3 linked regions of the Caenorhabditis elegans genome follow. The protein of the gene in region 1 interacts with the protein of each later gene in a pairwise test. Each region holds a gene or a part of one and is shown in the gene's direction. Other genes may lie near its edges. The genes, in order: daf-12, din-1 and lin-42.

The links.
Region 2: the proteins of daf-12 (region 1) and din-1 interact in a two-hybrid assay, tested with the Caenorhabditis elegans proteins (one study listed by BioGRID).
Region 3: the proteins of daf-12 (region 1) and lin-42 interact in a two-hybrid assay, tested with the Caenorhabditis elegans proteins (one study listed by BioGRID).

Annotation. Positions count from the first base shown.
Region 1 is NC_003284.9:10,639,625-10,648,124, forward strand, and holds the start of daf-12 (Nuclear hormone receptor family member daf-12), read left to right. Parts: upstream 1-4,815; coding exon 4,816-4,926; intron 4,927-6,213; coding exon 6,214-6,273; intron 6,274-8,500. UniProt on the Caenorhabditis elegans protein: Nuclear receptor which binds directly to response elements in target gene promoters. Activity is modulated by binding of steroid hormone ligands that include dafachronic acids.
Region 2 is NC_003280.10:11,629,959-11,638,458, reverse strand, and holds the start of din-1 (Daf-12-interacting protein 1), read left to right. Parts: upstream 1-4,872; coding exon 4,873-4,979; intron 4,980-5,027; coding exon 5,028-5,195; intron 5,196-5,244; coding exon 5,245-5,442; intron 5,443-6,185; coding exon 6,186-6,455; intron 6,456-6,531; coding exon 6,532-6,802; intron 6,803-7,656; coding exon 7,657-7,871; intron 7,872-8,500.
Region 3 is NC_003280.10:1,247,624-1,256,123, reverse strand, and holds the start of lin-42 (PAS domain-containing protein), read left to right. Parts: upstream 1-3,764; coding exon 3,765-3,915; intron 3,916-8,500. Other genes in the region: clec-119 (C-type LECtin), read right to left, coding at 1-30, 111-113. UniProt on the Caenorhabditis elegans protein: Transcriptional repressor which interacts with the promoter region of target genes. Has a specific role in developmental timing where it regulates temporal expression of a number of miRNAs and mRNAs.

The DNA of each region.
Region 1 (8,500 bases):
CTGTCAGAGAAACATTTTGCCGATGACGTCATCGGGCTTCATGTTCAATTTCATTATTCAGCATTTGTGTTTGTTCTCGAACCGCGTTATCGGTTTCTCGTTCGTAAAGTTCGAAACGCAGTGGAAAAAGTGCTCCAGTTTTTAGGCGAGTTGATTAGAATTACCCTGTATTCCTTGTAAACCAGGATGATAACGAGACATTGAAGAACACCATTTCAACGTCTCAAGTCAAGATAGGCTTTTCATTGCTTGAAATGTTCATGATTTACTTTTTGCGAAACTGACAAAAGCGTTAGGAATTTCACTAATAGATTTTCAAAATTCTAATAATGGAATTGTTTTTATTGTAAAGCTACTAAAGTAGTGTTTGAAATATTTGTATCTCAAAACGGTCAAAAAAACAAATATTAAAATGAGATCTCTTGAAAATTTTTTTATAAATGTTTAATAGCAACTTAAAATTTTTAATAATAAGAGCTCATTTTAGCTAACATCACCACATCTACTAATTTTTACTGTGTGCAAGAGGTCTCAAGTTTATTTTTATTAAAAAACTTCTTTATTTCGAATCTAGAAATATTTTCAGTCACAGAGTGCACTAATTTGGTAAAGTCTTCTGCTCCCATCTTAAAGTACAACACTGAGAAGTCGGCAAAATTAGAGCTTATGATGAAATCAGCAATTCTAACTCAACATTTTGAACTGTTTTGAGATTTTTATAGATTTTTTAAGAATTTTAATTATGAAATTCGGTCTTTTTGAGCTATGTCTTTAAAAGAATTACAAATTCTGCTACTATACCAGTTTACATTTCATTTACATTGAAAAAGTTCACAAAAGGGAACCTGCAAAAGTGCAAAATTCTATTTGACCTTTATGTGGTTATGGTTGCATATGTATTCTGGGATTAATTAATTGGTATATCTGTCCTTGAAAAATTAGCATTCTCATGTCTTGTATGTATTTTATTTATTCAATGACCGCAAAAAATTTTAAGAAAGTGTCTGAATGGCTCGTGTGGCTTTTGTAAAACACACCTTCGCTTATAGACTTTCAATTTTGAATTTCCTGGCAGCGCTTCGTCATTCTTTCCTTTTTCCTTTTCTCTCGTTTTCCACTTTGAAAACGAAACGCGTTTACCTCTTACATATTCGCACTCTTTCTCTCTCTACAGGGCGCTTGCCTTTCGGTATTGTTTGTTGCGAAACACAACATGTCTGGTCTGTTCCGCACCTCCGCGACAGATAATGTTGCCGTTTTCATCCGCAAAAAATCCATCCTTGGATTGTAATATCTTCTACACCTTCTACAGTCTCATCCAAATAATTTTTTCATGATTTGTGATTCTCTTTTCACGTCCTTTTTTCTCACGTCACGTTATCAATAATTATTTTATTCTGTTCGGCTTTACGTTTAGGTTTTTTGGTTGTTTGAAGTATATTTTGAAAAAAAAAACCATTCGAAACTCAATGAATTTCAATGAAGGTCAGAAAATGTTAGCTTTTGTTAAAAATGTTACAAAGGCAGAAATTTGAGAGAACGCAGGCGAGTAGAACAAAATGGAGAAGGAAGGAACGAAATAATTCACTTTAACGAAACTGAACTTTTGGCAAAAAAAAAGACAGCATACAAACACATAGGAAAAGATAAACATAGTTGAATGTGTAATGTTAAACTTTGCAATTGACCCTCACTCTTTTTATGTAACCATGCTTGGCAATAAAATCAAGAAAAATTGATGTTTGGAAATAAATTGTAACTGAAAATTTATATATTTTTGCAGTCGATTTCTACATCTGTCCAGAATTTTATTGCAATTTGAAAATCGAAAAGTATTTCTAGACAGTTCTGAATTTGAGAAAAAAATCTCGCAAAGAAAGAAATTTCGTTGTGTCAATTTTTTTTTGTTGCTTTTTTGTTCAAAAAAAGTTGATTGGTGTCTTTATTAGTATTTGTCTTCATTTATATTTTATTGCTGATGAATATCTAATTCTGTTACGTTCTCATGATTTCTTGTGTTTAATCTTTCATTTCCAAAGACTACGAAAAATTAAAAGATTGAAGATTCGGCTCAAAATTAATAATGCACCAAAGAACGCGTTTTTTTAGTTGAAACTGAAATAAATGAGGAAATTTTTCTTAAGGGTTACTAAACAAGAAAGGTCATGCATTCATTGGGACACAATTACTGGGCCAGTTACTTTCTTTTTCTTCTCATTCATAGGTTATTATTCGGAAAATCAACGAATTAAAAAAAAGTTTATAAAATAAAACTGTTAAAATATGAAAAAAAATTGACTGTTAGAATTTGAAGAAAAATCACAGAATGCAATGAAGGTCGATTTCTCGGCAGTTTCAAAGAAGGTTATCAATGATATTCTGTGCACTCTTCTACCTCCTCGCGTCTTTGTTTGCATTTACTCATTTTCCATGCGCTCACACTTTTTTCTTTCAATCCAGGTTTCCTGTACTAGTTGCTTGTTGTCTTTCAACTTTTCACCCTCTTTGCCCTCTTTGCCCTCTTCTATTAGTGCATTCTCTTTTCTTTTTTTGCACATTCGGTTTTGATGTGATGTACCCTAGTATTCTGAGAGCTTCGGCGCTCGTGACTGCCCTTCAAACACTTTTTGTGCAGTGTCCATATTGAATCCCAAGGGAAGATTGTTTGGTTTACTCCCACGGCTACCATCGGATTTATTTTTGGTAAATGCCATTTGAAACTTATTCACAAAGGAGTAGAATCACTCTTAAATTCGATTTGAAATGTTGTGCAGTCAAGTCGCAATCGGAGAACCGAACGCTGCACTGTTTATTCAGTGCTCAATAAATGTTCGCAGTGCAGTGGTTCTCGTTTTTCGTTTCGTTTCTCTCACTCTTCCTATCTTTTTTACTTAGTTTCCCTATCCGCGACAGTCTGATCCTTTGGTTTTTATTGCCCGTTTAGAACTTATTTTAATTAATTATCCTCTTTATTTTCAATGTTTTGTTTTGTTTGAACTATTAATGACCATTACTCTTTCTAAAGTGCACCCTATTGCGTATTTTAAAAATTTTTTCTTGCAACATACCCACCCTAATGCTCGTTTCGCCTTCCCACATTTTTTCCACCATTTCTGCGTCTCATTTTCTTGCGTGGGCATCCGCGGTCCCTCTTTGCCCGGCGCCTCTTGGATTTTGCTTTTTCTTTTTTTCCCTGGATGTTGCGTCTAGTTTTATCTGAAATGACCTTTAGGCACATTGCTAATCGTATTTCATTTTTTGGTTCCTCAAATTATTTTTTTTGAAAATAATTTTATTTGTCTGATAAGTGATCTTAAATGTAACTGATATTTTTTTAAAGTTGGATTCAAAATGAAAACATTTTCTAAAAATGGTTTTTTCAATTTAATTTTATTTAGTATTTCAGTACTTTCCTTTTTCCATTAATCAGTTGAATAGGAGATGTAATTTTTATTAAGTTTAATTTTACATTTTGTATTAAACTTATTCAAAAATAATTAATTTTTTTCCCTAAGTTAGTCAAAAATATTTTTTAAAACTTTTTTAATACTTTTGAGATAAATTTTTAGATTTTTTATTTCACTTTCGTGATTGTTCCATTTTGCAACATTATTCTGCATCAAAATACATTTTGAAAACATTGAAAGTTCTTCAAATGCCGCAACTCGATTTTATTTTAATTTCATCAATTTTCTTGGCCGAATATCAAATTTCTATCTGAAAATTAACTCAATCTTTTTGTTTTTGACTCAGAATTGAGTGCACCACAACTTATTTTTCAATTTCTTACATTCTCTAAAACCTTTTTTTGTTCGTTCCGTGCTGTTTTATTTCAATATTTCACCAGAAATGCATATTCTTCTCAGTAGGTGCAGTTTCATGTGTTGAGTGAATGAGACCACGACATTTTTTACAATTGTTCCGCTTTTTCCCTCCCCATATGCCATCTCAAATCCAAATTTCAAATGCCTTCCTCTCCAGCTTCTCATCTTTCCAATTTAGCAATTTTTCACGTCAAAATGAAACGAATCAGATTTTTGGTGCTAAGCATTAGGATTTGATGAAACAAACACACTATAATCAGAAGTGACAGATTTTCAATTAAATTTTTAGAGATAAATACATAATTTATCAATTTATGCGTGCCAGCAAAAAGGCAGAAATAGTATGAACAGCAGAGTCTACTTGAGACTAAATCTTAGTTCTACTCATCAACCAAGCGGATGAAAACATGATAATGAAAATGTACTTTTATTTCAGTTTAAATTGTAGATATCCACGCACCAGTTAACCCAGTTATCTGGTTTGTTTGTTTTTTTTTTGCTGGTCGTCAAGAACAACTTTCGATGTAGATAACTTTACCGAGCTTCATTCATCAAAAAACATTTTTTTCCCAATTTTTCGTTACAAGTTATAACTGTATATAATATCTAATCAAAAAGAAAAACTTATTTTATAGAGAAAGTTTTGACGAGATCTGTTTTGCCTAATCGAGATGTTTCAATTTTACAAAACTTTGCTCGCAATCAGTAGATATGTTTAAAATTAGCAGTAGCAAAATTTTTTTTTTTCGACTGTTCCACGCAAAAAAAAAAATCACAGCAGAAAAATGACAAAGTATTCACAAATAACGACCTCCCGTCCCCGTTCTTGTGTCTCTTCCGATCTTTTCTTTTGTGGCTGTTGATCACCAGTGTGTACTTTGGAAACTTATTCCTTGCTATTCCATGTTGCTCAAAATCTTGCTTTACTTGCTTTACAAAAACATAATGAAAATTTTTCAGCGCACATTTCGGCGCAACGGGCGCCAATTAAATGGGCACAAATGGAGGAGTCATTGCGGAACAGTCAATGGAAATCGAAACAAATGAAAACCCAGATAAGGTAGAGGAGCCCGTCGTGAGAAGGAAACGAGTAACCCGCAGGGTAAGTGATTTCTAAAATCTCACGGCTTTAAAAAATTGTATACCGAGAAGAGCCAGTACAAACTGTGTAAAGCAATCAAAAATGTGAAAATTAGTATAAATCGGCAAAAAGGTGAACAAATTGGATATTTACAAGTTATTTATAACAAACTTAAAGTTGAAACCGTATTTATAATTTTTTTCTCATCAGCTAAACAGAAGACCAAAGTATCAATAAAAGCTTGTGGGAATAGATGCAGAATAGTCTTGTAGAAATGACCTTTTTTGCAAAATATATTGCATCATTTTCACAAGAATGTGTTAACATTTATGTTTAAACCTCAGTTATTTTGTAGAAGTTTCGAACAAATGGTATTGAAATTTTCTTAGAGTTGATACTCATCAATTTTATTTAGTCTTAACTTACAAAGCCACTTCAAGCCTATCTACTGGTGTCAGTAAAAAAACACAAAATATGTAGTAACGGCATATCATGGTAGAACAATTTTCAAAATGTTCTCAATTTCATATTTGGTTTGAAAACTGAAAAATTCGACCATTCTGGTACAATCGGCATTATGAAACAATGTCCTCTCTGCAGCTATTTCCCCTTTTCCACTCAAAAATGTGTCGGAAATAAAATCTTACTTTCTAAAGTATTCGTAGAGCTTAAACGTTTAACTGTTATAAGTAACACATAAATATGTCTGCTTCTTTCTCAAAGAACAGCACTGATTTTAGAACGTTGACATGTCATCTTCGGCGGTCTGTGTCTAAATGTTCGATTTGTAGCGATAAGCGTTAGAGTGGCCAATATTTTCTGAGAACAAAAAGGAGTCATATTCTTATCATCTCTTTTCGTGCGTTTTCTATCTTTTGTGTAACCGTACCCTCCCACCACTTGTTAGCAGCAACATTTATTCTCTCTGAATTTCTACATCAAAAGTGCAATTTGGGGGAGTTGAAAACTGTTCGACCCTCCCAGCGCCGAAATCGACGGCTATCTTAACGGGGCGCCGAGATGAAGTAGGCAAAACAGATCATTGCAACAACACATACAATCGCCATCTATACTCTCACAGTGCCATGTATAGTAACTCTTTCCACAATTTCCACAAACTTCCATTCTATCCAACTCCATATTACTTTTCTGCTGTTTCTTACGAAACTCCTATTCAAACGTCAAAAACTCCGGGTTCAGCAAGTGTAATTGATGTTGAAAAGATTGACGACGATGATAAATCGTCAAGCCCAGCAAGTGTAATTAAAAATATCATAAATAATATTTAAATAATTTTTTTTATTTCAGCGCCACAGGCGGATACACAGCAAGAATAACTGCTTGACACCTCCAAACAGCGATGACGACGTTAGTTTGTTATTATGTTTTTTCAATCAGGTTAGATTATTATGACTTGACTCAACCATTGCACCAAGATGAAACTTTTTGTTGTTTTTGTGGTTGGCGGTAGTATTCTATAACTTTAAATTGCTAAACGATTTTCTTTTCTTCAATCAAGAATCTTATTGGATTTGAATTATTGGAGCTACATATATTTTCAGTTCATTGAATTTAATGCTCTATATTTTTGTGTGTATTCAGAAAACATGGTGTTAACAAATGAATATAATAACACTCTAAAGGACATTTAGTTATCAAACTTTAATTCAGTTTTAGAAATTTGTAATAAGCTTCTATTATAAGTTCAAAAAGTTCCATTCTGATCCGATCCTTCTTCTTATTGATTGTTTCTCATCAATTAGTCTTCATCTCTTTTTCGAAGTTCGGCGTATGTTTTGTGCAGCGTTAAACTCACGCCATTTTGCTGACGGGGAATTGTTTAGAAGTGAGTGGAGAGGAAAGAAGAACTGATGTTCTTGAGTGTGATGTGCTCTCAACATTCGAGAAAATGATGAGAGAAATTTCATGTGTTGAAGATACAAAATGCGCTCAAGATAATGGTGGACTTTTACTTCTACATCTAAACGCTTTTTCAATGAAACCTGTACTGGAAAAATTCGAAAGGAAAAATTCTGGAAAAGTCGTTCAGCTTTTACGATACCTGAAATAAATGAACTCATAGTGAGCTCTAGTTGAAATTATTCGGACCAACTAGGTCTGAAACAAAGAAGCTGTATTCTTGCCAACAACGATCAAAGTTTAAAGTCCAGTGTCATCATCGTCATCTTCAATATCTCAATTTTCATCTTCAAACAATCAACCTATCCACAACCTGTTCGGAACGCCAAACTACGGTAATCAGCGCCGGTGTTTTGATAAAGCGATAAGCATAAGTGCTCACACTTACTTCTTACTTACAATTAAATTCGCTTCCTTTTTGGGCCGTTCCAAGGTCAAACGGTGAAACACACGCACCGTACATATACACAGGACGCACTGAAGTTTTTGCTACTGCTGCCTGTTGTGTCGTCGTTCGGCCCCGATTTTTTTAAGTGTGTGTGTTCCATATTACCGCAAAAACTTGGGACCACGCCTCTCACAACACCTACTTTCTCAATTATTCCGAAAACAACAATGAAGTGCTGATGATACCATTCTACTATATACTTCCGGACGTCTATACTTCATTCCGAACACAAAAATCAAAAAATGACACTCGAAGCAAATGTGGCGGCACTTTCGAAATTCATGTCATTCGACAAAATGCTTGCAGCATTACGGGTGAGTAAACGTGAAGATTATTCAAATTGCCTTGAACAATCCAGAACAAGTAACCGTTTTTGACTCATTATTGTAACACTTTTTCTCAATCTTAAATGTTCAAACGTTCAAGTGTTCTTTTAGTTTGCAATTCCCACAAGTTTGGACATGTAGTTGTAAAATGTCAGTCACGCTTTTTCAAAATTATTCAATTAGTGCTCACGAGAATCAGTGAGCACCACCACATGATCTCCTTACACTCATCTCCTTTATTTTTTGATTATCTTTTTTTTTTTGTTTGTTTTCAGTGTATCACTAAAATAGTTTAGTTTTTTAGAATAATGTACAGTTTATAAGAAGTTCCAATATTCTTTGAATCGTTGACTTTGAGTGATTTTGACAAGTTAGAGAGGATGAGATGCGAACGTTGTTTGCCTCGACCTACATATAGGTTATTGTAAGTAGCGCGCTAGGCCTTTTCAAGTTTTCGGAACATGGAACACAGAGAGACAGGAACTCTATTCCGAAATGTTGCGATCGACCTTGTTTTTTCCTTCTCTCGCGCCGTCGCAGTAGTCGTCGGCGGCGCAATCGGAACCAAATCGTAGTGGCCTGGGGGAGAGCGCAGGCGGCGACCGTGAAGGAGGCGACCGTGGTGGTGGTAGTGGCGTTTAAAATGAAATGAAAAATACTATGCGTTCTTAACGCGAACATGACGACAACTTCGATGTGAAGGTACTTGAGAACGAGAAAAGGAGTAGAGAAAGGGAATGAAACTGACCGCAGTTCTATCATCACCCAGGCGCGCCCTTCATCTTTCAAGACAATCTCTAAACTAGCGGTAGCAGAGGAAAAGAATATGGGGTTTGACTTATTTCTTTTTCGCAATTTATGGTATTCGGTAAATAAGAAGATAAGACCATATAAAGAATTA
Region 2 (8,500 bases), on another chromosome or scaffold:
TCAATTTTGCGAAATTTACTCAGTTTTTTTGGTTTCACAAGGCGTAACGACCCACAAAATCATCCGAGCTAAATTTTTTATAAAAATTCTGAAAAGTCAGGTCAAAACGTGCCGAAAAGTACTAAAATGAATTTTTCTGCATACTGCTGCCGCCGCTCACATCAACTTTTCTGGCGACTGTGTCATTCAAGACTTCAACTACTGCCACAGCCAGAATTTTTTTGGATTTTTGTTTTTTAAGAATCTCCAGACCAAGAGCATTCTCTGAACTATAAAAACTTGTAAGACACTTGATGGATTCCTCGAGAAAAGTGTAGAAATCCCGCAGAATGCCGACTTGCGTGCCATAAAGATCGTGATCTCAAAAGTTCTGAAGGCCTGCAGCAATGCGGATTGGGATATTTTAAAAATTCAAAACGTTCTTCTGGTCAGTATTTTATGGAGAACAAAACTTGTACAACTTGATGTAATAACTCTCTCGACACGTGAAGTTATAGAGCTGCAAACGTGTTACCTTACTTATGGCGCACCCTGTAAAGTGGGGGTGCAATACTATCCGATAATTCGGTTTTTTCTCTATTAGTATTGCACCCCATTGTTCAACCTTGACAGATTATATTTCAGTTTTCTGTTTTTTGTTCAAAAAATTATATACTAGAAAAATATTTGTTAGTTCTTCTACTATTATTTCGTAATTAATAATATATTCATATCGTTAAAATGAACCAAATATAACGTCTCAAAGTTAAGTAGCCGGGTGCAATACTAATAGAGGAAATACGGTATATGGTTTTCCTCTTGATTCAATAATACCAAGGATATTCCAAAACTTAAAAAAAAACCTGTGAATTTCTTTTCACTGAACTTCCGATTTTCTAACATTTCCCTTCCTTCTCCCAAGTTTTGTTCATTGGTGTTTAATCCGATAACGTGCTTTATTCAAATTAACAAAATTACATACGTTTACCGTGTATTCCAAGTTTACACAATATGTGGCATGTACCTTTCAGGAACCCATAACCATTTGTATATTACATAACATTTTTCTCGAGGCAATACCATAATAAAAATAATGCTCTAAAATAGATTTTACTATAGCCCTATTCTGTGGGCAGAATATTTATTTTGATAAAGATTAGCTCAAGAAAAGCTCAAGAATTTTCCACGTAATCCGCTCAATTTTTTTTCGTTCAGAAGATCTCGTAATAATAAGAGTAATAGCGATTATTCGACGAATCAATTATCCACATAACGACCTGCAATTACGGAGAGCTCCATGTGCCGGCATCATTACCTAAAGAGAAGATTGTGATGCAATGGTAATTGATGTAGTGTGGGGGAAATGACGAAAATAATCTGAAAAAATTCAAATGCCCCTTTGTCCTGAAATAAAACAATAAAGAATCATCTATTGTGATCCCCCGACATCTGTATCATAGTTCCCGGTGTTTTACATGAAAAAGAGCTGCTGTTGGGAAAAAATAGATAGACCGAGAGGTAGAGAAGCAATAGGAAAGTGGTGTTGGTGAGGAAAAACATCAAAATGCAGTCATAGAAAATCCCTTCTCTTGTTGACGGGGTTCTGTAACCAGTGATTACGTATTCAATATAATCACGGGCTCTCCGCATAGGAGGACAAAGAAGAACGAACCACCGCCCGCCGATAAGAAAAAGAAAAAGTGCATTTTACGAGAGATTCATTTCGAGGGCGCGATACATGCAGGAGAGCGGAAAATATTGAAGATGGGTGTGGACGAAATTGAAATTTGCATGCTTGAAGACGTAGGAAGCTTGTCAGGCAGAAATGGATTCTATGAATGATATGATGACTGCTTTCATCAATAACATGTACAATAAAGATAATTCTTACGTTCTTAAAGTTGTTAAAAATATTATTATATTAAAGTTGGTATCTAAAACTAAATATCTAGTGAATTAAACTTGGCATTTTAAACTTAGTATATTAATATCTTAAGCTTTGTATCTTAAAATTGGATTCTTAACATTAGTATTTTAGTATTTTAAACATAGTATCTTAATAGTTGAAACTTAGTATAATAGTATCCTAGGATCTTAGTATCTGCAACTTAGTTTCTAAGAAACCTAAGCTTAGTATCTTAGTACCTTTAAAATCTGAAAAAAAACCTAGCTGGAAATTCTAAAACTTCAGAAAAATAAAGTTTGTACAAATTTAAATATATTTTCGTATTCTTTGAACATTTTGAAAAGTTTACAAATTGGTATTGAAAAAGAACAAATGTCAATTCTCTCCGTCTAGACCGTTGCAATTAACGACGTATTGTTCAAGGGGTTCACTTTCGGGGTGGTCTCTTTCTCTAGCCCCCTTCTTTATTCGATATCCTCCTGTCAAGGTCAGTCTGTGTCGCTTCCTCTCTACGCGGTAGCAGCAGATGGTAAAAGGTAAAGAGAGAGAGAGAGAGAGTAGCCGTCAGACTTTCTATTGATCGTTGGTCTCATTGAAAAGAGACTGAGAGAGAGAGAGAGTCAACGAGAGAGTGAGAGAATGCACCTGTTTTGTTGAGCTGACTTCTCTCTCACACTCTCTCTCCATCTTTTTTGCAATAATACAATTGATGATTCAACGCAAAGACGCAGACAATGTGTAAAGAAGAAGTGGTGACGTGGAGGTGATAAATGGAGTCAATAGAACAAAGAAAGTGAATTGAAGCGTCTGGGTAGTTTTGAACAAAATTCGACATCTTGAAAAATCACAAGAAAGTTAAACTTTAATTGACAAACTCCAAAGTGTCGTCACACTAAGTTTACTATTAGGAAGAAAACTTGCAATTTTCAGATGTCAAATAGTAAGGCGTCCTCTGCTTCCTTTTACCTTTAACATAATAATTTTAAAACGAAACCAATTCAGTCCCCCAACCCCCATAACGAATCTAATCTTAACAAGCAAGTCGCATTCATTTACATGTATCACATGAGAGCGCGTTTTCTATCTCTCTCACAAACATATTTCGTAACTTTTAGATTTGGAATACATGCGAAGAAGAACTACCCAAGTCAGGCGTGAACATAAAAAAGAACAGGTGGAAACAAAATATGTTTTTTTTTCGGTTGAAAGAGGCAAAAGCATAGGAGCTAGAGTGACGTGTCATAGTGTGAGTGTATGAAAACGGAGGGGTGTATGTGAGTATGTGAGTGTGTGTGGTTGCCCCCCGTCGCAAACACTCACTCACCACACCCCACCGCCACTCGTACAACTAACATTTGCAGTCCGCGCCGACCCGTCTCGCGAGTCTCTGCGCTCTCCGCCGCTCATCCAATCCATCGGTATGCGCATCGATTTGTCGACCATAGAGCGGTTTCGCTTCCCCCTTCTCTCGCTCTTCGCCGTCAGCAGCAGCAGCCCCTCGGGCCGGGCCGTCGTCAAATCAAAACACTCACTCCCCGACCTAGTCGTCTTGTTCGGGTGGGGAGACTCAAGCCTCTCAATCGCCTGAGAAGCTCAGAGAGGAAGAGCTCGAAGACATACGAACGCGCATATCATATAAAAGCAGAGCATTAATTATTGTATTTGTCGCCCCGTCAAAATTAAATCTCAACAAAACAGAAAGTTGAAAACTGAAATTGGAAAATTATGACGTAGAACTGGGACTACTGGGACTAGGACAACAAGACTGCAGACGGGCGTACACAATATCGAAAATGTATGGCAAATTCGGCCTATAACTCCGTCCCAATTCTACCAAATTTTGCCTGGAAAAAATTGAAATTTAAAATTTAAAATTCGAATATAGATAAATTCAAAACGAAGAGCTCTTTTTTTTTAAATTAAGTGAGAAGCCTACGGCTTCAGTTTTCCGATGAAAAAGGATGAGGACAGATGCGTTTTTGGTTGGGTATATTCGAAGCTGAACGAGAAGAGGACGACACGAAACACGACTAAAGCGCGTATGCTGTCTGTGTATGTGTGTCGGGGGGCCGCCGCTGTTTTGGAGGGAAAAGATGATGAAAACGGGGAGGCGAGGCTATATCGCAGCAGCGACAAAACCCGAGAGATAGTCGGCTGGCAGGAGGGCATGGTTAGACTTATGCGATATATTATGGTGCAAGACACATAAAGGAGACACGAGACGTGTGTGAAGACATTGGAGACACAGACGAGCAGTGTGCGACGATTGCCGGGCACGTTTTGTGCGAGCGATTCGATGCGAGTGAATGACAACGCGACGGGGGTCTTTTCTGTTGTGCGAGCGCGACCGTCATGTTGCTTGTGAGTGTGGTTGTGAGCGTCTGTGAGTGGATTCGGGGAGAAGAGGGGGGCCGACGACCTCCCGCCAATGCCCCTTCGCCCACCCAGACACCCGTCCACTCAAATCCGACGTGTCCATCGTCTTCGCCACCGTTCTATCGGTTGCTGTACCCGTTTTTTTCTGCCGTTCCCCGCACCCCTCCGTGTCTCAGCTCTTCCAATTCCCACACCGCTATAGGCTCTCTTGCACAGTTCCCATCACATTTGTACCATTTTACGTTTCACAAGCACTAAATTCCCCCGAATTGGGTTTAGAGAGCTGTTAATCGAAAATAACCTTTGAGATCAAAATGTGTGTCGGAAACACGCTGTAAACAAATTTCGTAAACCTTTTTCTGGAAATAGATTGGAAATAGAAATATGTAGTCTGAACTTATTAAAACACGATGAATCACATACAAGTATCACAATTTATCTCCGTTTTTCATCTGGTGGATTTTGATTCTGTGACTTTGGAATTTTTAATAGCCACTCGCATTTAACATAATATAATTGTATATTTGGCTTTCTTTTTGCTCCCCTTTGTGTCATGAATTTATAAATGTTGAATTTTTGATTTTATAGAATCCGCGGTTTGCAATGTTGAGATGGTTCAAGTACCTTCTACAAATACTGTAAAGGAATCCCGCCATGTGGCAATATCTGGACTTCCAAGCACATTACCAGATGATCGACTACAGTTGCATTTCACAAAGTATATCTTTTTTTTTAACGAATTTTTAAAATTAAATATTAAATTCAGATTTGGCGAAATTCAGCGTTTGGTCCGGCAACACGGCAACCCAGAAATCGTCCTCGTCAGCTATATGGACGCTCGTGGAGCCTTGCGAGCACGCAGTACAAAACCACAGTTCGAAGATTCAATTGAGTACAAGATCTCCGCGTATATTCCGGAACCCACACAGAACTCGTGAGTCCCCCTCTGATCTTTAACTATTCTGGAAACCCTTGTATTTTAGTAGTATGGCTTCCATGTCATCGACACCTTCGTCCGGTCAAAGTTCGTCGCCACGAAACGCTGAGCTTTCACCGCAAAGGTATGGCGATACACGAGGCGCTGAAGTGAAGTCGCCCAGTTTCAGGAATCAGATGGAAGCTAGAAGAGGAGGCCCACATCTCTCGGTGCAATCCCAGCAAAGGCATTCTCGAGAATATTGGTAAGACACGGAAAACGAAGAAAACTATATAGAGATCTTTCTGCGTGTGAAAGACGCAGAGAAGAAGAGCATAGTGGGTGAGATACTGAGACAGGGTAAGAGGTGGTGTGAGAGCGGGAGATTGTTGACCCTCCAGCCAAGACGGCTGCTTGGGAAGACGAAGACGACCCCGAGCGGGACGCGCGCACCAGACTTTTTTACTCTCTGTCCCTTTTTTCTCGGTTAATTTTTTTTCGCAGTTCACAGAGATTTACCTCCCACAATGTCTTTTTATCTCTCTGTCTCGGTTTTATCCATCTCCTCTAACTTTCCTAGTTAATTCTTAGCTAAACGGTGGACCGTAGTTTGTTGTAGAACTGTCAGTCGTCGTTTCCTTTTAATTGTTGGCACAGAGCCAAAAATATATTACCCATATGTGAAATTTTGCGTTTTGTGAGCCAAAAGTACGGTACCCGGTCTCGGCACGACATTTTTTTGTTAAATGCGGAAGTGTGTGCGTCTTTTGCAAAATTTTTAGCAGTTTTCTTATTTTTTCTTTTAATTAAAAATTGTGTATTGACTTTTAAAAAACCTCAAATTTGAAAAAAATCAGGGGAAAGTTTAAAATTACAGTAATCTTTAAAAGCGCACACTTTTTAGAATTTAATAAAAACTTGCCGTGGTGAGACCAAATCGTAAACTTTCCCGTCTGAGTAATAGCTTATGTATATTTATCTATTCATCAAAACTTTCCATTTTTTCAGGCCCATCCCAGAATTTCCATCAGAATCCACGGCCTGTGTAGTCTACGAAATACAGTCCGGATCGACACCAGAGCGGGACCTTTTTGAACTTGTGAAAAAGCACTCAAAACGGTCAGGCGTACCAATCGATATTCAACTGGAGTCGACTACCGAACCTGGCTGGAAAAAAGCACGCGTCCATTATTACAGGCTTGATACGGACGGCCTGAAAGCTGATAAAAGTTTAATACTTGGCAGGCCGCCAAAGTTTCGAGTCTATTACCCGACAAGGTTGGTTTTTATGGTCAAAATTAATTTTTGTAAAAATAATAAAATCAATAAAATCAATATATTTTATATTTTCCAGTGGGGAACAGAAGCATCCTCAATGCCATCCGTCGACATCATACGCAATACCTAAACTGAAAGGTGATCATTTGCTGAAGGCGAGTTGCTCGGTACACGTGCCTCATTTGGATCGTCACTCACCTGATCATTATCGTCGAAGATTTGAGTCTTATGGTCAAGTCATTGACGTTGATATGGTGAAGTCGAATGATAATAAGGCATTCGCAGTTGTTCAGTTTACGAATATCGACGACGCTCAGAAAGCGTTACAAGATACGAACATTCCAAAAGTGAGTTTGCGCCCGAACCTAATTGTTGTCAGTTTTTAGCACAATGTGCACCGATTTCATTAGTTCCCATCCAATTTCTCTATACCCTCCACTATCTCTACGTACTCGAGAGTATTACACACACATCTTCGACACTATCCTGTCATCATTGTCTTTTTTGTAACACAATATCACCGTCCTTTAGACAGTTTTTTATCGCATTTTTGTTTTGATGAAATATTAGAATGACCTTTTTCCCAAATTGATGCAGTTCGCAAGAAAAATTTTATTGATCGACCTTTAGATACATTAGGTATTCCGTACCCACTAGAAACCAGAAAAAAGTGCACACCTCTTATAATTTCCTTTTTCTCATTTTTACTCTATTACAAAAGCCCCCAAAAATAGTTTTCCTGGTCTCGCCACGACCGAAGCTTTCCAGCTACAGTACTTCCTTGTTTTCATTGTTTCCTTCTATTTTACAACGCAAGAACATTAATCTATAGTATTTTAGATTTTACTCTCCATTGCTTTTTTTTGGCTTTAACAAAAATTGTTCGGCTACTTTCTAAAAATAGAGAAATGTTTTGCACGAACTTTCTCTTTGAAATATATTTTTGATAAGCTCCCCCCCCCCCCCCCCCCCCCCATTGTCCAACTTTGACAGCTTATATCTTTGCTGTCGTTTGTCCTATACAAAAATTATCAACTGACAATATATTTTTTATTTCTTTTTCTATATATTTGTAGTTAATTTTTTTTGATAAGTTCAAGATGAACCGAGGTATAATCCTTCAAAATAATATAGCAAAGTGCTGACTAATTTCTAAATTTTTTTCTTTCTTTGACTTCCAATTTCATATTATTTCTTTCAGCCGATGTCATATCAATCTCGTCCATCGCATCGAATAATTATATTCTACTTACCGATCGAATGTACAAATGAAGAGATAATGCTGATAATACGCAGCTTATCCGACAGAATTGTGGATATTTGTGTTGACTGGTGGGATCGAAGTGCGGTAATTACGCTTGACGATATGGAGCCAGCGAATTTGCTATTAAAACGGATGAAGCTGGTTGGACGAAAGTGAGTTTTCGTAAACAAATTTTGATTTTAAAATTATATTTTTTTGTAAAAACGTTTCGTAATGTGTGTCTCATAGCAACTCCCTTTTATCTCTATGTTCGGAGAACAAAAAGGCTGAGAAGAAAATTATGATGATTTTGGTCACATGAGCATGAATATGTGAAATATTATTATCTTTTGAGATAGAGAAATAATTGATTAAAGATATATAGTGTTTTAATGCTTAGGAAGTTCTAAAAAAAATGAGTGAGCCTTTAAAGAAGCAATTAGACAACAACTAGTGACTAAATGAGTACTACTTAACCATTGAAACGGACCCGTTTCTGGCTTTCTCGTGTGCGCCCCGCTTACCCATTGTGACCATTGTCTAACCATCTGCGTATCCTTTTATGGCGCCATAGGGGAGGCGTGGCCTGTCGTGCTGGACGCTAGGGGTACCCATTCAGTCGTAGTGTGGTGTGCGTGCGCCTGGGCGCAAAAAAGAGAGAGAAGTGTTCCCCCACCCAGCTATTTGAATCTAACTTTTAATTGATGACCAAAGTGAGAGATCGTCGGAGATGTTCGGAACCTTGTACACATTTTATTTGTGAGATACTCAAGTGGTGAGCAAGATTGATATTTCAAAATTT
Region 3 (8,500 bases), on another chromosome or scaffold:
AATGAGCAGGGCGATGAAGAAGGCAAGAAGCTGGAAAATTTAACGTTTCAGGGTTGGAAGTCACCTCTACAGTACCCCATACCGTACCCTTACAAAAGACCCCAACTCACCATTTTCTGCTTTTTTGATTGTTTATAGCAACTGCCACTATAGAAGTTCTCTTCAATTGCAAAAATAGTAGAAACTGAATTTTCTGATCAAAAACGTTTCTTTTATGCACATTTCATCTTGATAAGGGCTTTATTCCACATTTACACGTTTTTATTATTTTATAAAGTTGAGGTTTTTCAAAATATTGAAAATTAGAAATTAGTTTTAAAAAAAATTACTTCACGTGTTTTGAATTTGCCTTCAAAATTTTGCCCTGTACCCGTTCCCCCTTCTAGCACCCCGTTCACCTTCAAAATACTTGGTTTAGTTGTGGTGGGCAAAGCAAAACATTCAGGCAAAAATCCTGCGTCTCCATGCTTTTACCTGATCTCTCCTCCAGCCGGTCAATTTGAAAATGTTGTTGTTTTGAACACGCAAACATTCGTCCAAAAGCTTCTCCCCCATCAAGGACACTCGGAATTTGAATTTTTCGGCGGAGAAGATTGGGTACTGTAGGTGTGATGTTGGGTGTTGGATCCAGGATCTAAGTGGGGGGTACTGTAGTTTTAGAATTGGAGGGATACTGTAGTTTGTGGTATGTTTTAAGAGGTTTTAATTTAACATGTAATTAAAATTTAATTAACGTAGAGTTTTGATACTGTTTTGATACAGTTTTACTGTAGTTTTTGGACTGGGTTACTTTAGCACTCTAACAAGATTACTGTAGTTTTGTTAGGATTACTGTAGATGACAAGATTACTGTAGTTTCAAAGTTGGGATCACTGTAGTTTTTTTTAAAAACACAATTACTGTGTTTCTCAAAATGGAACTTCAGAAGTTTTCTGGCAGGACTATTGTAGTTTTAAAAGTAGGATTCCTGTAACTTTTTAAAAAATAATGTTACTTTAGCTGCGGGTAGGGGTGGCAAGAATACGACCTGCGACCTAGCGGTACTATGTTTTTTTTGCAAATTTTTTTTGCGGATAATTTGTCATTTTTCCTTTTATATGAGAGTCTACTGAATTTAAAAAAAAACTATCAGGATTCGAAACTTTTGATAGGTTAACAACTCGTAAGTTTTTAGTTTTTCTTTAAAGATTACATTGACAAAATTCGGACCTAGCTAAAGTTGAAAATCGGCTTCTAGTGGGTGCGTACCATGAAATATAAATGCTCATCATATTATACAATTTATTCATCAATCACCTTTTCCTCATATTCTCCTTTACTCTCATAATCTCAAATTTTCTTTGAAGGGAGATACATTTAGCTGCCAACACATCGCCACCCCTCCATGAAAAGACACATGTTTACGACCTAATGGTCTATATATTCAAATATTAGCTCTTTCAAGAAGGCATTTACACTTACGATGCGTACTGATGTACTGTTATGATGATCCTACCCTGTGGGAATCCTGTTTGTATTGATCTTTACAACCCCCTATGTACAACGATACACATTGTTTTTTGGGGACCAACCATCTTGATTAATCTTTTTCGTTTCGATTTCTTGCCGATTTAATTCTAATTTTTTTAAAAACACAATTACTGTTTTTTTGTTAGGATTACTGTAGCTTTTTTGACAGAATTATTGTTGTTTTTTGAGAAAGTTACTGTAGCTTTTGTAATGGAATTTAAGAAGTTTTCTGGCAGGATTACTGTATTTTCAAATGTTGAATTTATGTAACCTTTATGAGAAACCAATCTTACTGTAACTGCGGTAAGACTACCGTCAAATTAATCTAAGGCAAGATTACTGTAGGTTCTAGATCTAGGATCTAAGGGGGTAATTTAGTTTTCACAGGACCCTGATTCCATAAGCTTTGGCTACTGTACCTAGCTCAACTTCCATAATAAACAGTACTGCAAACAAATTCTGTACAAACACCGATTGCTAGAAAAAAACGGGCACCTAAACCGTGTGAATTTCTAGCGACGGCGGCGCTCCCCACGAGTGGCACTGACTGGTAGTGGTGGGCTTCACTCCGGAATTGAAATAAAATTTTGAAATTGAAAAGGACATAAAACAACAAGGAACGGTGATTTGCGGAACGGAAACACTATTTTTTTTTGAAATAATATTTTTTTGTCGGCCTGTATCTCACTTGATTTTTGAGATGTCAAAAATATTTTAACTACCAAATTGTAGATCACTGTTTGCCGCGTATTTTATCAGTTGACAATTTGTCGCAAAAATCTACCACCGCCAAGATATAAGCCTTCAAACTTACACGGTGCATTTCTATTAGAGTCCCTAATTTCTCAAGATTTTGTTGTTGTTTTCGGACAGTTTCCTGCTACTTCCCAGACACATAAATGTTTCAATTGGCACCTGGCACCGGTTAGAAAAAACCGGGGAAAACAACATTGTAGACAACCTCCGGGTGGTGAAAGTAAACATTACCTGTTTGCAAAAAATTTCGAAAATTTGCAAGGAGTAAGTTTCTAGAAAGTGAAAATTTAAGTAAAAGAGTTATGCTTAGACTTAGGTCGTCGGCTTAGTCTTAGATTTAGGTTTAGGCATAGGCATAGGCATAGGCATAGGCATAGGCATAGGCATAGGCATAGGCATAGGCATAGGCATAGGCATAGGCATAGGCATAGGCATAGGCATAGGCATAGGAATAGGCATAGGCATAGGCATAGGCATAGGCATAGGCATAGGCATAGGCATAGGCATAGGCATAGGCATAGGCATAGGCATAGGCATAGGCATAGGCATAGGCATAGGCATAGGCATAGGCATAGGCATAGGCATAGGCATAGGCATAGGCATAGGCATAGGCATAGGCATAGACATAGGCATAGGCATAGGCATAGACATAGACATAGGCATAGGCATAGGCATAGGCATAGGCATAGGCATAGGCATAGGCATAGGCATAGGCATAGGCATAGGCATAGGCATAGGCATAGGCACAGGCATAGGCATAGGCATAGGCATTGGCATAGGCAAAGGCAAAGGCATAGGCATAGGCATAGGAATAGGCATAGGCATAGGCATAGGAATAGGAATAGGCATAGGCATAGGCACAGGCATAGGCATAGGCATAGGGCATAGGCATAGGCTTAGGCTTAGATTTAGGCTTAGGCTCAGATTTCTGTAGGAAGACCCTTCTATTATAGTCCTGCTCTCTGTGAACTTTTTCTTGTCACCCACCTACACCACTTTATATACACATTTACTCACCCAAACAAGATGAGTCAAACATTGCTCAAATAGGGGAGCATAGGGTGTACTACTACAAGCCACGCCCCCACCTGGTTTCTTGGCGCCAGGTAGAGTGGGAAGGAAAGGTAGCGTACTCATTTGGATGAGTTTGGCATAGTTTCTTGGCAGTTTTTTTGGGTTTTTAGCTAATTACGTTTGGGCCTAAGATGGGGCCTAGGCTTTGGCTTAGGCTTATGTCTAGGCTTAGGATAAAGCTTAGGCTCAGGCTTAGGCTTAGGCGTAAGTTCAGGCCTAGATTTCGATATAGATTCTGATATTAGAATTAGATTTAGGCTTATTTTTAATCTCATTCATAGCCGCAACTCTGGGCTGAGGTTTAGGCTTAGGCTTAGGCTTCGGCTTAGATTTAGTCTTAGGCTTAGTCTTAGGCCGAATTTTTCTCCGCTTTCATAACTATCCGCCTTTTACCCAATTTACAGCTCACGTTTCAGGCTTCCGACATGGGTATCCGATCACCAAAGCATACTACCGTTGAGTACTACAAAATTGCGCCAAAATTACGCGTAATTGAGAGGATTTTGGTGAAACAGGTCACAGTGGACACCCGAGGAAATGTGCTCCATATCATTGAGTATTTCGAGCTGGAAGGAGGTAAGATGTAGGCCCAGGTTTAGGCTTGGGCTTTCGGCCTTGGCTCAAGCTTCTTAGGCTCAGGCCTACCTAGATTTTAACGTTAGTTTTTTGTTCCATTGGCTTAAAAATTTCAAATTTACTACTGTCAGCCCCGTCAATTCTCATGCAAATCATGGTGCATCGACACCAAGAGACACCATTTTTATTATCAACTCTATTGATATGCAAACTAAGTAATAGTGTTGGCTCCCACATATTAAAACGGATGGTGTCTCAAATAGAGACACATGGCGCCATATTTAAATTTTGGAAAATTTCATTTTTTTGGAATTTTCTGTGAGCTAAACTATAAAACTATTAGCTCAGTCGCTACTCACCCAATTCGCCAACAATTTTGGAACGCAAAGATACCGCCATCTCCACACTTATAATTAGTCATTTAGAGCAAAACGGCGGGGCTCGTAAAACAAGAGACATAACATGGGCGGTACGGTTTATTACAGGGTAATCAAAAAAAAAATATTGAGCTGAACTTGGAAGACGTACCAAGTTTTTGAGTCAATTTTTTCTAGCTGGGGGAAAAATTTGAAATTTAGATTTTGGTACCTATATTAGAAATTTTTTTTGTAAAAATTTGGTACCACTTAGTTTAGCTGCCAAATTTTATGTCTAGGTACCTAGTTTTAAAAAAATTTGGAAATTTGCTAGTTCAATTTTTATACCTACTAGGTCTAGTACCTAAAATTTATATTTTACCAATATTAATTTCAAATTGTCAGGCCTACTAAATCGCGAAGCCTAAATTTGGAACATTTTAGAAAAGTTTGCAGTTTTCAGTGCAAAGTTTGATCTGGCATAGGCATAGGCATAGGCATAGGCATAGGCATAGACATAGGCATAGGCATAGGCATAGACATAGGCATAGGCATAGACATAGGCATAGGCATAGGCATAGGAATAGACATAGGCATAGGCATAGGCATAGGCATAGACATAGGCATAGGCATAGGCATAGGCATAGGCATAGGCATAGGCATAGGCATAGGCATAGGCATAGGCAGAGGCATAGGCATAGGCATAGGCATAGGCATAGACATAGGCATAGGCATAGGCATAGGCATAGGCATAGGCATAGGCATAGGCATAGGCATAGGCATAGGCATAGGCATAGGCATAGGCATAGGCAGAGGCATAGGCATAGGCATAGGCATAGGCATAGGCATAGACATAGGCATAGGCATAGGCATAGGCATAGGCATAGGCATAGGCATAGGCATAGGCATAGGCATAGGCATAGGCATAGGCATAGGCATAGGCATAGGCATAGGCATAGGCATAGGCATAGGCATAGGCATAGGCATAGGCATAGGCATAGGCATAGACATAGGCATAGGCATAGGCATAGGAATAGACATAGGCATAGGCATAGGCATAGGCATAGACATAGGCATAGGCATAGGCATAGGCATAGGCATAGGCATAGGCATAGGCATAGGCATAGGCAGAGGCATAGGCATAGGCATAGGCATAGGCATAGACATAGGCATAGGCATAGGCATAGGCATAGGCATAGGCATAGGCATAGGCATAGGCATAGGCATAGGCATAGGCATAGGCATAGGCTTTGGCTTAGGCATAGGCATAGGTATGGGCATAGGTATAGGCATAGGCATAGGAATAGGCATAGGCATAGGCATAGGCATAGGCTTTGGCTTAGGCATAGGCATAGGTATGGGCATAGGTATAGGCATAGGCATAGGTATAGGCATAGGCATGGGCATTGGCATAGGCATATCATCTAGGTACCCAATTTTTCAAAAAGTCTTGCAGTTTTAACAGTTTCAAAGTATCCAATTTTTTGACATTTTCAAAAACTTACCAACTAGTATTATAAGTTAGAGTCTAGGTTCCCGAATTTATAAAAATTTTGGAATTTATAAAGTGCATTTTGAACCTATTTTTTAAATTAAAAATTGTGTTTCACACTAGTTTAACCTTTATATTTTTAAATTTTAGAATTTTGAAAAAAAATTGAACAATTATTGATCTGGGTACATATTTTCTGATTTCAATTTACATATGAATGCCCAAAAAAACTTTGGTAAGGTGTCTCCTGTTACACTAATTTGCATGAAAATTGTGAGCACTGAACCAACAAATGTATTTTTACGGCAATTTCTCAGCTTCTACTTTGCTATAAGGAAAATGGAACTTGGCCCAGTGCCAAATAAATTTTTGAACATTACACTTGACCAGTAGACTATATAGTTCCACTGTACCACCACACAATACAAATACTTTTTGTTTGTAGTAGTAATTTGTGTTTTTAAAAACTAGATTTTTACATATTTTTAAACAAAAAACAGAGACGCAGGTACGGGGAAGAGGGTACTATAATACTACCAATTTTACTACAAAAATTGGCAAGTTGTGATGTCATTTTTTGATTTTTTTTACCTACAAAGTTGGTAAAAAAATTGGTTTAAAAATTTTTATTTTGTTGTAAATTTTCGTTATTATTAAAAACTTTGAGTTTTTTAATAGATATCAATAAATGCCAAAAATATGTCAAAAAAGTCGAAATTGAAGCTTTGTAGGTCTAGGTACCTACAACTTGGGATATTTTTGATTTTACCAATTGATAATAGAAGTACTTAGGAACCCAAACCGTCAATAACTATTGAACATCATTATAGCTAAAGCCTAGTAGGCTTAGTAGGCCTAGGTGCCTGCAGATTTACAAGAACAGTGTAAAAAGGTATATACTAGGTCTAAGTATTTATTTTGACATTTTTTTACTTAAAAAACAGAAAAATCAACAAAAATGTTATTAGTTAAGATATAAAAAACCTAGAACAATGTGCAATTGAAGTTGGAATTTGACCAATTTTTGGACTAATTTTTACAGAAAATGTTTTTAAAAAATAGTTATAAGTTGCTACACTATTAAATTTAAGTACCTATAATTCTTTTAATTTTGGCATTTGCCAAAATATATCCAGATTACCACAATATGTAACAATATACAAAAAAAATTGTATCTACTAGCTTATCAATATTCAAAACCTACTAGGTAGGCCTAGGTACCTAGAAGAAAGCAAATTATACCCCACTAGTATTTTCAACTTTTTGATTTTGCCATTAACAAATTTTAATATCAATTGACACTAGGTCTAGGCACCTAGACTTATTGCCTAACTGCTCTAAGTACCTATTTTATTTTATTATTAATTTTGGCACTTGCCAATTTATCGATCAATTTCATATATGGCATGGGCACCTAGATAACCGAATTTTCAATAACCTTTGAAACAATTTTTTAGCATTTACTAGGTCCGTGAAACCTATGTATCACCTAGTTTTTCACCCTAAAAACCAATAACTTCTCTCCAAAATCTCACTTTTCACCCCCTGCGCCATTCCATTTGTCACCCCCCCTCTCTCAACTTCTACTACTAATCCGGATTTGAGAGAAAAGGGGAACATGTGTTTAATTGTCCAGTTTGACCAGGTCATCTCATCCAACACCTCGCTCCTTTGTTCTTTCACTTTCTCAGGATTTCCAAAAAAAAACGGAAATTAATCGCTTCGGGGGCTCTATGGTACGGACGGTACGGTACCAATTGCCCGAAAAATTATATTTTGAAACTTCAAATTTGCAAATCTCAAGTTATATAATAAGTAGATACCTACTAGGTCTAGGTGCTAATTTTTTGAAAATTCGAATTTTTCGGTAACAAAATTGCCAAAACATAAATACTAAATGATGTAATAAAAAATTAATTTAATCTATTGAAATTCTCCAAAAAATTTACCAAATTGAGAATTTGAGATAATTCAGGAAATTTACAAAATTTTGAAAAATATACCAATAATTTTTAATTTGATATTTAAAATTTAAGTTTCATAAATTTACGATTTGGTTAAAAAATGACCAACTTAACTATTAAGTACCTCAAATTCTATAAGAATTAGAAAATAAAATAAAATATAAAAAAACGGCAGCTAATTTTCAAGCTCCTACTAGATTTGAATCTAATTTGTATTTGGAAATTACCAAATTTACTATTGAGAACTAGCTCTAGGTACTTTAAATTGCCAATTTTGCAATTTATTCATTAAGTTGACACTAGGTCTAGATCCCGTTTACAAAAGTTTCAGAAATTTGAACGTTATTAACTTATATGTAAAGTTGGTGCTAGGTCTGCCTACCCTACTATTAGAATTTCCAGAAAATTGTCACAATTATCACAAGTTAATCTTGCATTGACCAATTTATAAATCAAATTGGCATTTACCAACTTTTATATTAAGTTTACACTAGGTCTAGGTGCCCTTTTCTTTTGGAAATTTCAAAGTTTGGTATTCATATGTCAAGTTGGCCCTAGGTATAGGTTCAAATGAAAAAAATTACCAATTTATTTATTATGTGGGTATTAGGTTCAGATACCTATATTGGTCAGTTTTTTTTCAATCTTCCAAAGTAAAAAAATTCTGAACTAAAATTAAATTGGAACTAGGTTTTAGGTTCTGTAGGGAAAATTAAAAAATGTCCCAAACTGGCTATTACAAATCTTCATAGCAAATTGAAACTAGGTCTAGG